Oryctolagus cuniculus: one gene and its partner. The protein of the gene in region 1 purifies or fractionates together with the protein of each later gene. This does not show direct contact. Links are inferred from orthologs where the notes say so. Each region holds a gene or a part of one and is shown on either strand. Other genes may lie near its edges.

Region 1 (4,686 bases):
GCAGAAGAGCCTGGTACATACCACCTTAAGAACATGCTGCACAGTCCACAGGCGGTGGTGTTGTGGGTGTGGCCCGTAGGGTCACAGGGCACGGCCCTCGTGGGTCCACAAAGGCCATTATCGTGGGAGTGGGTTCCCTGTGGAAGGACAGATTTGGTCCCTCATTGTGGTTCTGTCTCTTGCCCTTCTTCCACCCTTATGACATAGCAGAAAACCCCTCCAGGGGGCTGGCCCCTCGTCTCAGACTTCCCAGCCTACAGAACTGGTCGTTGTCAATTACCCAGGCTATGGTTTTCTGGTTCAGCAGCAAAACACCAAGTGACCCAGGCCAGCACCTCCAGGGACACCCAGTGACCCTAGGAGGCCCCAGCAGGACACCCTGGAAAGGGCACATGGCCTCACCATGACACGTACCAACCTCCCTCTAACCACACAGCACACCACATGCACACCAGACCGAGGGCCATTCTGACGGTGTCGCCAGTGGAGTGTCGGCATCGTGAGAGGAGGCGGCGGCCTCAGGGACTGTAGGAAACAGGCGGCCCGACAACCGGAGGCGGTGAGGGTCCTGGGCAGGATCCCGGGACAGAGACAGACTGCTGCAGCAGCACTGGGGAAACCTGTACAAGTTCTGCAGCTTGGGTCAGCCAAATCCCACAGAACTGGCTCTTGAGGGCCACGTCTGCTTCCCAGCCAATGACTCCTGAAGACCCAAAGGCTAGAGAGGTCTGGGCAGAGGGGGAGGGCTGTGGGAGGGTTCCGGCTCTAAGCAGTTGGGGTCTGATCCGGACTTTGCAGGCGCTGCCTGGGACAAGCAGCAGAGGAGGGGCTGGGCTAGAGACGGAGCGACAAGTTTATCAAACCTGCGGCCCTGGGAGAGCTCAAAACCGGTTCAGGATTCACTGTGCAGGTTATCAGATAAGGCGAGGGGTTTGTTGCATGGTTACCATAAGAAGGCGGGTGGGGACCCACAGGCGGCAGCCTGAGATGGCCCCGGAGAGTTGCTGTTGGACCTTGAAGGCTCTGGAGAACCACTAAAAGCCGCTGAGCAGGGGCCAAAATGCTGACTTTGGCCTTACAAAGACGCGCCCGGCTGAGGGAGAAGGGGCGGGGATCCCAGAGGGTCTGGGGGTCTGTTCCAGGGGCAAGCAGTGATCATGACCAATTGCCAACCTGCTTGAGCTGATGAAAACAGATGGCCCCAGCGACAGCCCCGCCCTCGGCCCCCACAGGCTCGGGGTGGGCTGGGGTCTCCTCCCCGGTGGGGGGGGGCAAGGTCCTGACCCCGCTCCGTGAAAGGAGAACCCTTGGAGCTGTTCCCAGTGATGCCGTTGCCAGGTGTAGGAGAACTGACTCTGCATTGGTTTCCACAATCAAAGAAGGGCAGGGCATCCAGGGAGAAAAAAGCGGTTCAGGAACCGAGCCGTGTGCGCTTCCCTACGCGGGGCTGGGCGTGGGTGTCGGCTGTTGACCGCCACCCCTCCCCAACTCAGGAACAAACCAGAACAGATGAAAAGCCCACTCTCCTAAAATCCCTGAAGCATGATTGCAAGACTCAGTATGTATCTAAGCGTGGTACCGACCTCAACCCCCTGGAACACAGGAAGGGAAAGAGGAGGGGGCAAGGGCAGGGGGGAAAAAGCCGAAGAAAACGTCACCTACTTCTCAAAGGTGCTGTGGGCCGTCCAGGGGTCCTGGTTTGGAATCGCGGCTCTCGTCCCTACCATTCCTCGTGCTACCAACAGCCATCAGACTCTGCAGACTCCAACTTGGAGAGCTCCAGGAAAACACACTCGGTATTTTAGGCTGGCACATTCTTCCAGAGGGCACGTCCCTGGCATTCCCCAAGTTAATGAGAGCAACTACTAGAAGAAAAATTGTATGCATTGGAATTGTACGTATACGGATTAACAGAACTCCTTGAGAAGACTGGACAACGGCCCGGAGCAAATCAATGAACAGAGACTGGACCAGGAAGCCCCAAGAGTCCTGTTAGAGAGCTCTGATCTCCCCAGGTGTCCGTCCCTGCTGGCACCCTTCAGTGAGGCTGTGCTGGGGAAAGCCACGTGAGGGAAACACCGACACAAAACCCTGGACAGTTGAGGCCAGTGTCGTGGCGCAGCCAGTTGAGCCGCCACTTGGGACGCTGGCATACCGCATTAGAGCGTCAGTTCCAGTCCTGGCTGCGCCGCCTCCAATCCAGCTCCCTGCTAATGTGCCTGGGAAAGCAGTGGAAGATGGCCCAAGTGCTTGGGGCCCTGTAACCCACATGGGGGATCAAGATGGAGCTCCTGGCGAGCAGTTTTGTCCTGATCCAGTCCTGGCCATTGTAGCCATTTGGGAACAAGTGGATGGAAACTCACCCCCCCCCCCCCCGTCACTCTGCCTTTCAAATCAATACATATATCTTAAAAGAAAATAAAACCCTGGAGGCCAGCACTGCGTGCAGCAGGTCAAGCGCCATCTGTGTTGCCAGCATCACACATGAGTGCCAGTTCAAGTCCTGGTTACTCCACTTCTGATCTAGCTTCCTGCTGAGATGCCTGGGAAAGCAGCAAAAGACGGACCCCTGTCACCTATGTGGGAGACCTGGATGGAGTTCCTGACTCCTGGCTCTGGCTCGGCCCAGCCCTGGAGGTTGTACCCATTTGGGGAGTCACCCAAGTCGATGGAAGATCTCTCTCTCTCTCTCTCTCTCTGTCTCTCTCTCTCTCTTTCTCCCTCCCTCCCTCCCTTTCAAATAACTAAATAAACCTTAAAAATGAACAAATCCTGGACAGCTCTCAAAGAAGCGTCATCATTCTCCACCCTCCCTCCCTGCCTGCCTTGTACCTTGGCCACCCGAAAAGAATCTTCTCGCCGCCATTTGGAGGGTGAATCATCAGGACCCCATCCAGCTTCCACAGACTTCGTGAGGAAGTCCCTGTTCATAGCAACTTTGGAGTCTTGGCTGATTTTTCGCTTCCTCCCAGTTCTCCACCTCTCCCCTCCCCCGGTGTGGTGGTTGTTGGGGTGGGCATGGCTGGCTCCCCCCTGGTCTTGCCCCTCAGTCCACCCCCTGCCCTCCCATTTTCTCTCCTGCTCCACCTCCCTTTCTTCTGAGCCACTGCAAAGCTCCAGGGACAGCTCATTGTCCCTGGCTCAACTATGATGTCCCCACTGGTTCTGTGACATCAGCATTTGGTGGGGCCCAGGGGAGGAGAGACAGACTAAGATGGACAAGGTTGTGGCATGGGAGCCACGGAGCCCCGCCCTTGATTCAGAACAGAGACTGATCCTCCCCAAAAGCATGGAGCTCAGCGTGACCCAAGCTGCGCAACCCAGGGTGAGAGGCAGACACAGTTTGCTCCTCAGAGCTGGTCTCAGAGAGCCCATGCGGGAAGGCTGACCTTGCAAAACAGCACTCAGACGGGCCAGACCCCCAGCAGCCAAGGAAAACAGGAGTGATGGCTTATGTATGCAGTGAGTGAAGACGGCTGTGGCTTGGGCACGAAGGGCCCGTCTCCTTCGCTCTCCACCATGCACACTTGCTACCCTTTGCAGTCAAAACCCTGGCAAACTGCTTCTCAGAGAGGCTGTTCCTTTAGGAAACTCTGCCTTCCCACTGTCTCCTTTGCTTGTCAGCTTTTCCCTGAGTAATTCTCGCTTGAGGCCAATTACTCGGTGTCACCCCAAGTGAATGCCTTGAGTCCACTAATAGCACCCCACCACACAGAACAATCGTTTATGAGGTGTGGAAATGCGGTGTTCTCATAGTCACAGTCCTGGAGCAGATGTCGTTGAGGAGAAAACCCACCAATGACAGCAGGAGCGGAGCTCTTTAAAATCCCTAGAGCAGAGTAGGAATGGAGAAGAACCACAGAATGCCGTTGTTGAGCTATTGCCCAATCAACTAAAAATGGAAGGTTTCCAGGGCTGGTGTTGTGGCATAGCAGATTAAGCCACTGCCTGCGAGGCCAGAATCCTATATGGGTGCCGGTTCAAGTCCTGGCTGCTCCACCTCAGATCCCGCTCCCTGCTAATGCACCTGGGAAAGCAGCAGAGGGTGGCCCAAGGGTATGGTCAGAATGCCTGGTATGAAACATCCCACATCAGGGAAGAAGGTGCAACTTGGCCCTCTCAGCTCCATTCCCAAGTCCTTAACCTTCTGGAAAGTGCAGAGTCTGCGCCACTTGGGCTTCCAGGAAAACGAAGCCTCCTGACCCGTTCCCAGCAAGCTCTCCTGTGGGTGGTACTTTTGAACCTTGATGGGAAGGTCACATTTGGAAGACAAGTTCTCACAGGGGAGAGGTTCTTTGCTTTCGTCTCTAGACCATGGAGACTTGGAGAGAGATGTGTGGTCCCACGGAGCCCTACAGAGAGCATCGTGGTGTTCAAAGGCAGGGCAGCAGGTCCTGGTATCAGCGTGGGATTTGTGCGTCGCTTTGTTGACTTGTCATTGTGCCATGCACGTTTTAGTAAGTCATGTGCAAATCCAGCACATTCGGTCATCCCGGGTAATGGGACGCAGTGGGACCTAAAATATCTACACGTCGATTCTCCTAAACACTAGGCTCTTCCATCGTATCTCAGAAGGTGCAGGCCCTTCTGCACAAATTCGAGTCGGGGGGAGTGCTTCTGCAGTCATGATTCTCACCCTCAGAAGCACAGCTCTCCCGAGACCGGAGGAGGTATTACTTAAGCCAG
Region 2 (4,178 bases), on another chromosome or scaffold:
GCCCCATATATATTAGATCTTTCAATATTATCCCACATAGTTCTTTACATCTGTTTTACTTTTCTACTTTTTCCTGAATAATTTCTAATGACCTGTCTTTAAGTTGTGTGAAATATTCTGAGAAACCACTGATTGAGAACAGTGTTGCAGGTGGTGAAAGTATTTACCAGCAGTCAGAGAGAGAGAGAGAGAGAGAGAGAGAGAGAGAAGAGTTAGATTTATTAAATAAACTGAAAGGAGGCAGGACAGATAGAGGCTGATGAGTGCTGCAACTTGGATTGTAACCTGGGAGATACATATCTGAGACAGATTGCCACTGGGTAAGTGTTTTTCCATCACTGGTGATTTCTTTATTGCTGGATATTTTGACTAGGGACTTCCTAATTGCCAGATGCCCAGGTGACCTACACAAGAAATGACCTCTAAAGCCATAAAAAGATGTGGAGGAACCTTAACTGCATGTTAGTAGGCAAAAGATGCCAATCTGAAAAGGCTATATACTGTGTGCTTCTGACTATGTGACATTCTAGAAAAGGCAAATAGATGGAGACAGGAAAAGACCATGAGTAGAAAAATAACTATTATTTACATTTTATTTCCTTTTAGTTATTTTTCTTCTTTAAAAATATAATCATGGGGCTGGCACTGTGGCATAGTGAGTTAAGCTGCTGCCTGCAGTGCCAGCATCCCATATGGATGCTGCTTTGAGTCACAGCTGCTCCACTTCCGATCCAGCTCCCTGCTAATGTACCTGGGAAAGCAGCAGCAGATGGCCCAAGTTCTTGAGCCCCTGTACCTACAGTCTGGCCCAGCCCTAGCTGTTGTGGCTGTTTGAGGAGTAAACCAGCAGATGGAAGATTTCTCTCTCTGTAACTGCACCTTTCAAATAAATAAATCCTTAAAGAAATATATGTGTATGTAGTCACTATGTCACTGTATAGACAGTTTTTATTCTGACCATTTTAAATACTTGATTGTTATGAAGTGTTACATTTTTCTCATTTAGAACTCTTCATGGTTTACCTTGAATTTGCTGAAATGTTGAATGTTTCATTTTTTATCTTTGTCATTTTGTAAACAAAGGGTAAACAGTATGTTTTTATTTTATAATTCCTTTTATATGGGTTTTTGATAGTATAACAGCACATCTAAATAAAATAGCACTTGTGTTCTAGAAATTAGCATTGTCCTGTTCTTGTCATTTCCCACATGTATGATATTTAACTGCTTTTATTTACTGCAACACAGGTGTGTTTTATTTTTTGATTCAGCTCATAAAGTATGACAATAACATTTATAAAACGTGATATACTAAGTTACTGTTTGTGATTGATCTTGTCTCAATAGATTTGGGATAAAACCAGCCTGGAATGTTTGAAAGTGTTAACAGGACACACAGGCTCTGTCCTTTGTCTGCAGTATGATGAACGTGTTATTGTAACCGGTTCTTCAGATTCTACTGTGAGGTGAGTGATCTAGCTTCATCGCTCTAAAATTTTAAGCGGAGACTGAGAGTCACAGCTTCTGGGATTGGCACACACACTTTGTATTGTTTAACTTGCTGTATTTGTATTTAACAAATGTTTCATTTTATTTGAAAGGTGGAAGGGCCAGCATTGTTGTATAGCTGATAAAGCCGCCGCCTGCAATGCCGGCATCCCATATGGGCACCAGTTCATGTCTTGGCTGCTTCACTTCTGATCCAGCTCCTTGCTAATGTGCCTGGGAAAGCAGCAGAGGATGCCACCCACATGGGAGACATGGATGAAGCTCCTGGCTCCTGGCTTCGGTCTGGTCCAGCTCTAGCTATTGCGGCCATCTCGGGAGTGAACCAGTGGACTCTCTCTATAACTCCGTCTTTCACATAAAATAAAATCTTAAAAAAGAAAGGTGGAGAGAGGGAGCAAGAGAGATATTTTCCATCCACTAGTACACTCTCCAAATGCCCACAATAGCCAGGGTGGGGCTAGGCTGAAACCAGGAGTCCAGAACTCAATCTGGGTCTTGTGTGGTTGACAGGAAACCAAGAACCTGGGCCATCACCTACTGTCCCCCAGAGGACATTAGGAGGAACCTGGAATTGGAAATGGAGCCAGGACTAGATTCCAGGCTCTCTTATACAACACGTGAGCATCCTAAGCAGAATCTTAACCACTGTGCCCAACACTTGTCCCAGGTTCCAGAACCTTTGAGAGACATAGGAAGAGTAAAATCTGAGTGCCAGATAGCTGGCTAGATACTTTGTATAATATTATACTCTTAGGTTCTCACATCATCCTTTACCAAGTTGGTAGATACTAGTTTCATTTTTATAGATGGATTAGGAAACCACAGCCAGAGAGGTTAACTAGTTTCCTCAGTCAAGTTGGGACAAGGATATTTTCCCCCAGCTGGAGCTGGGTGTAGATGAGTCCATCTGAGTAGAGGTCCTTAAGTGACGCCTCAGCTGGACTGTCTGCTGGTGGGCTGGTGGCTGGAAGGGAATGTGGGTCTAAAGGAAATCCATCTTCTAGGCTGAATCAGGTACTGGAAGAGGGCTGTTTTGCAGTGTGCCTCAGAGGGATAGCAATAGCCCCTGAGTCTGTCCCCGGGTTACTGTATTCTCCATCCTCTTTCCTCTCCTCGATCCTGTGGCCACTAGTCTCATGCCACACTCTCGGACTTCCCTGTTCCCCAGCTGACAGCAAGCCCAGGATCCCCTTCCTGCCCTTGAACTTCCAGGCTGCTGCTTCTGCCAGAAATCACATCTCAGTCCTAGAGACCAGAGCCTTCTCCTCCACTATATGTGAACTTGTCATCTTAGGAGGTTGGGGTTATAGAAAAGCCAGGCTATGGCAAGACCATCCTTAAAAATCTTGTATCTCAAATATGAAGCAAGTAGGAGACCCTGGCTTTGTCCATAAAGCATTTGAGTACAGAAATGGGTGTGGTGTTGGATGAGATATCATGACTTCTAGTTTCCAGTTTACTTGTAAGAGACCTAGAAGTCTGTTTGTTAGAGGTCACCAAGAACTGCACTGTTCTCAATTCCCCAGCCGTTATACCTCCGTCTTCCTGCCATCTCAGACTCACTGCAAAGCCTACTTCATTGAGCAATCATTCATCATCAGCATGAACCTACAAACACTGTCCCTGAATACCTGACTGTCAAGTCAACCATCTCAGTACTTCTCAGCAAATAAATTGTTTCTAGGGCTCCTTGTAATCCTGTACATAGGTACTTTTAAGTATAGACATAGGGCAGGGCTGGCAGTGTGATGCAGTGGGTAAAGCCACTGCCGGCAGTGCTGGTATCCTGTATGGGTGCTAGTTGGAGTCCCCACTGCTCCACTTCCAATCCAGCTCTCTGCTATGGCCTGAGAAAGCAGTGGAAGATGACCCAAGTGCTTGGGTCTCTGCGCCCACATGGGAAACCCAGAAGAAGCTTCTGGCTCCTGGCTTCGGATTGGCCCAGCTCTGACTGTTGGCAGCCATTTGGGTAGTGAACCAGTGGATAGAAGACCTCTCTCTCTCTCTCTCTCTCTCTCTCACACTGCCTCTCTATAACTCTGCCTTTCAGATGAATAAATAAATAAATCTTTAAAAAAAAATGGATACAGGGAACAGGTATTTAGTCTGGAGACATCTGTGTCACACATTGGAGTTTTGGGTTAGGTTCCTGGCTCTACTTCCTGACTTCAGCAGACCTTGAGAGGCAGCAGTGATGGCTCAAGTAATTGGGTTCCTACCACCCATAAGGGAGACCTAGATTGAGTTTCAAGCTTTTGGCTCTGGCTGTTGCAGGCATTTGGGGAGTGAGCAAGTGAATGGGAGCTTCCTGTCTGTCTCTCAGAAAAAAAGAAACAAACAGAAAAAAGAGTGGACTCAGTTTAGAGGACAGAGTCTTTTCTTGGCTTTCTCAGTAATTGAGCAGCATGCATTTCTCTTTTCATTTAGAGTCTGGGATGTGAACACAGGTGAAGTTCTCAACACATTGATCCACCACAATGAGGCTGTACTGCACTTACGCTTCAGCAATGGACTCATGGTGACCTGTTCTAAGGACCGCTCCATTGCCGTGTGGGACATGGCTTCGGCCACCGACATCACTCTACGCCGTGTCCTGGTTGGCCACCGTGCTGCTGTCAATGTAGTAGACTTTGATGATAAATACATCGTGTCTGCCTCTGGTGACAGGA

What was found. Proteins that work in one complex are often made in the same cells at the same time.
Region 2: the proteins of LPIN1 (region 1) and FBXW11 purify together in Homo sapiens (affinity purification with mass spectrometry; 4 studies listed by BioGRID and IntAct, with this or other methods). This does not show direct contact. The link is inferred for Oryctolagus cuniculus from reciprocal best matches to the Homo sapiens genes LPIN1 and FBXW11.

The regions. Positions count from the first base shown.
Region 1 is NC_091433.1:191,043,066-191,047,751, forward strand, and holds the start of LPIN1 (phosphatidate phosphatase LPIN1), read right to left. Parts: upstream 3,091-4,686; 5' UTR 2,932-3,090; coding exon of another isoform or gene 2,833-2,931; intron 1,866-2,832; exon of another isoform or gene 1,863-1,865; 5' UTR 1,663-1,862; intron 138-1,662; 5' UTR 36-137; coding exon 1-35. UniProt on the Homo sapiens protein: Acts as a magnesium-dependent phosphatidate phosphatase enzyme which catalyzes the conversion of phosphatidic acid to diacylglycerol during triglyceride, phosphatidylcholine and phosphatidylethanolamine biosynthesis and therefore controls the metabolism of fatty acids at different levels.
Region 2 is NC_091437.1:58,576,006-58,580,183, reverse strand, and holds part of FBXW11 (F-box/WD repeat-containing protein 11), read left to right. Parts: intron 1-1,347; coding exon 1,348-1,466; intron 1,467-3,936; coding exon 3,937-4,178.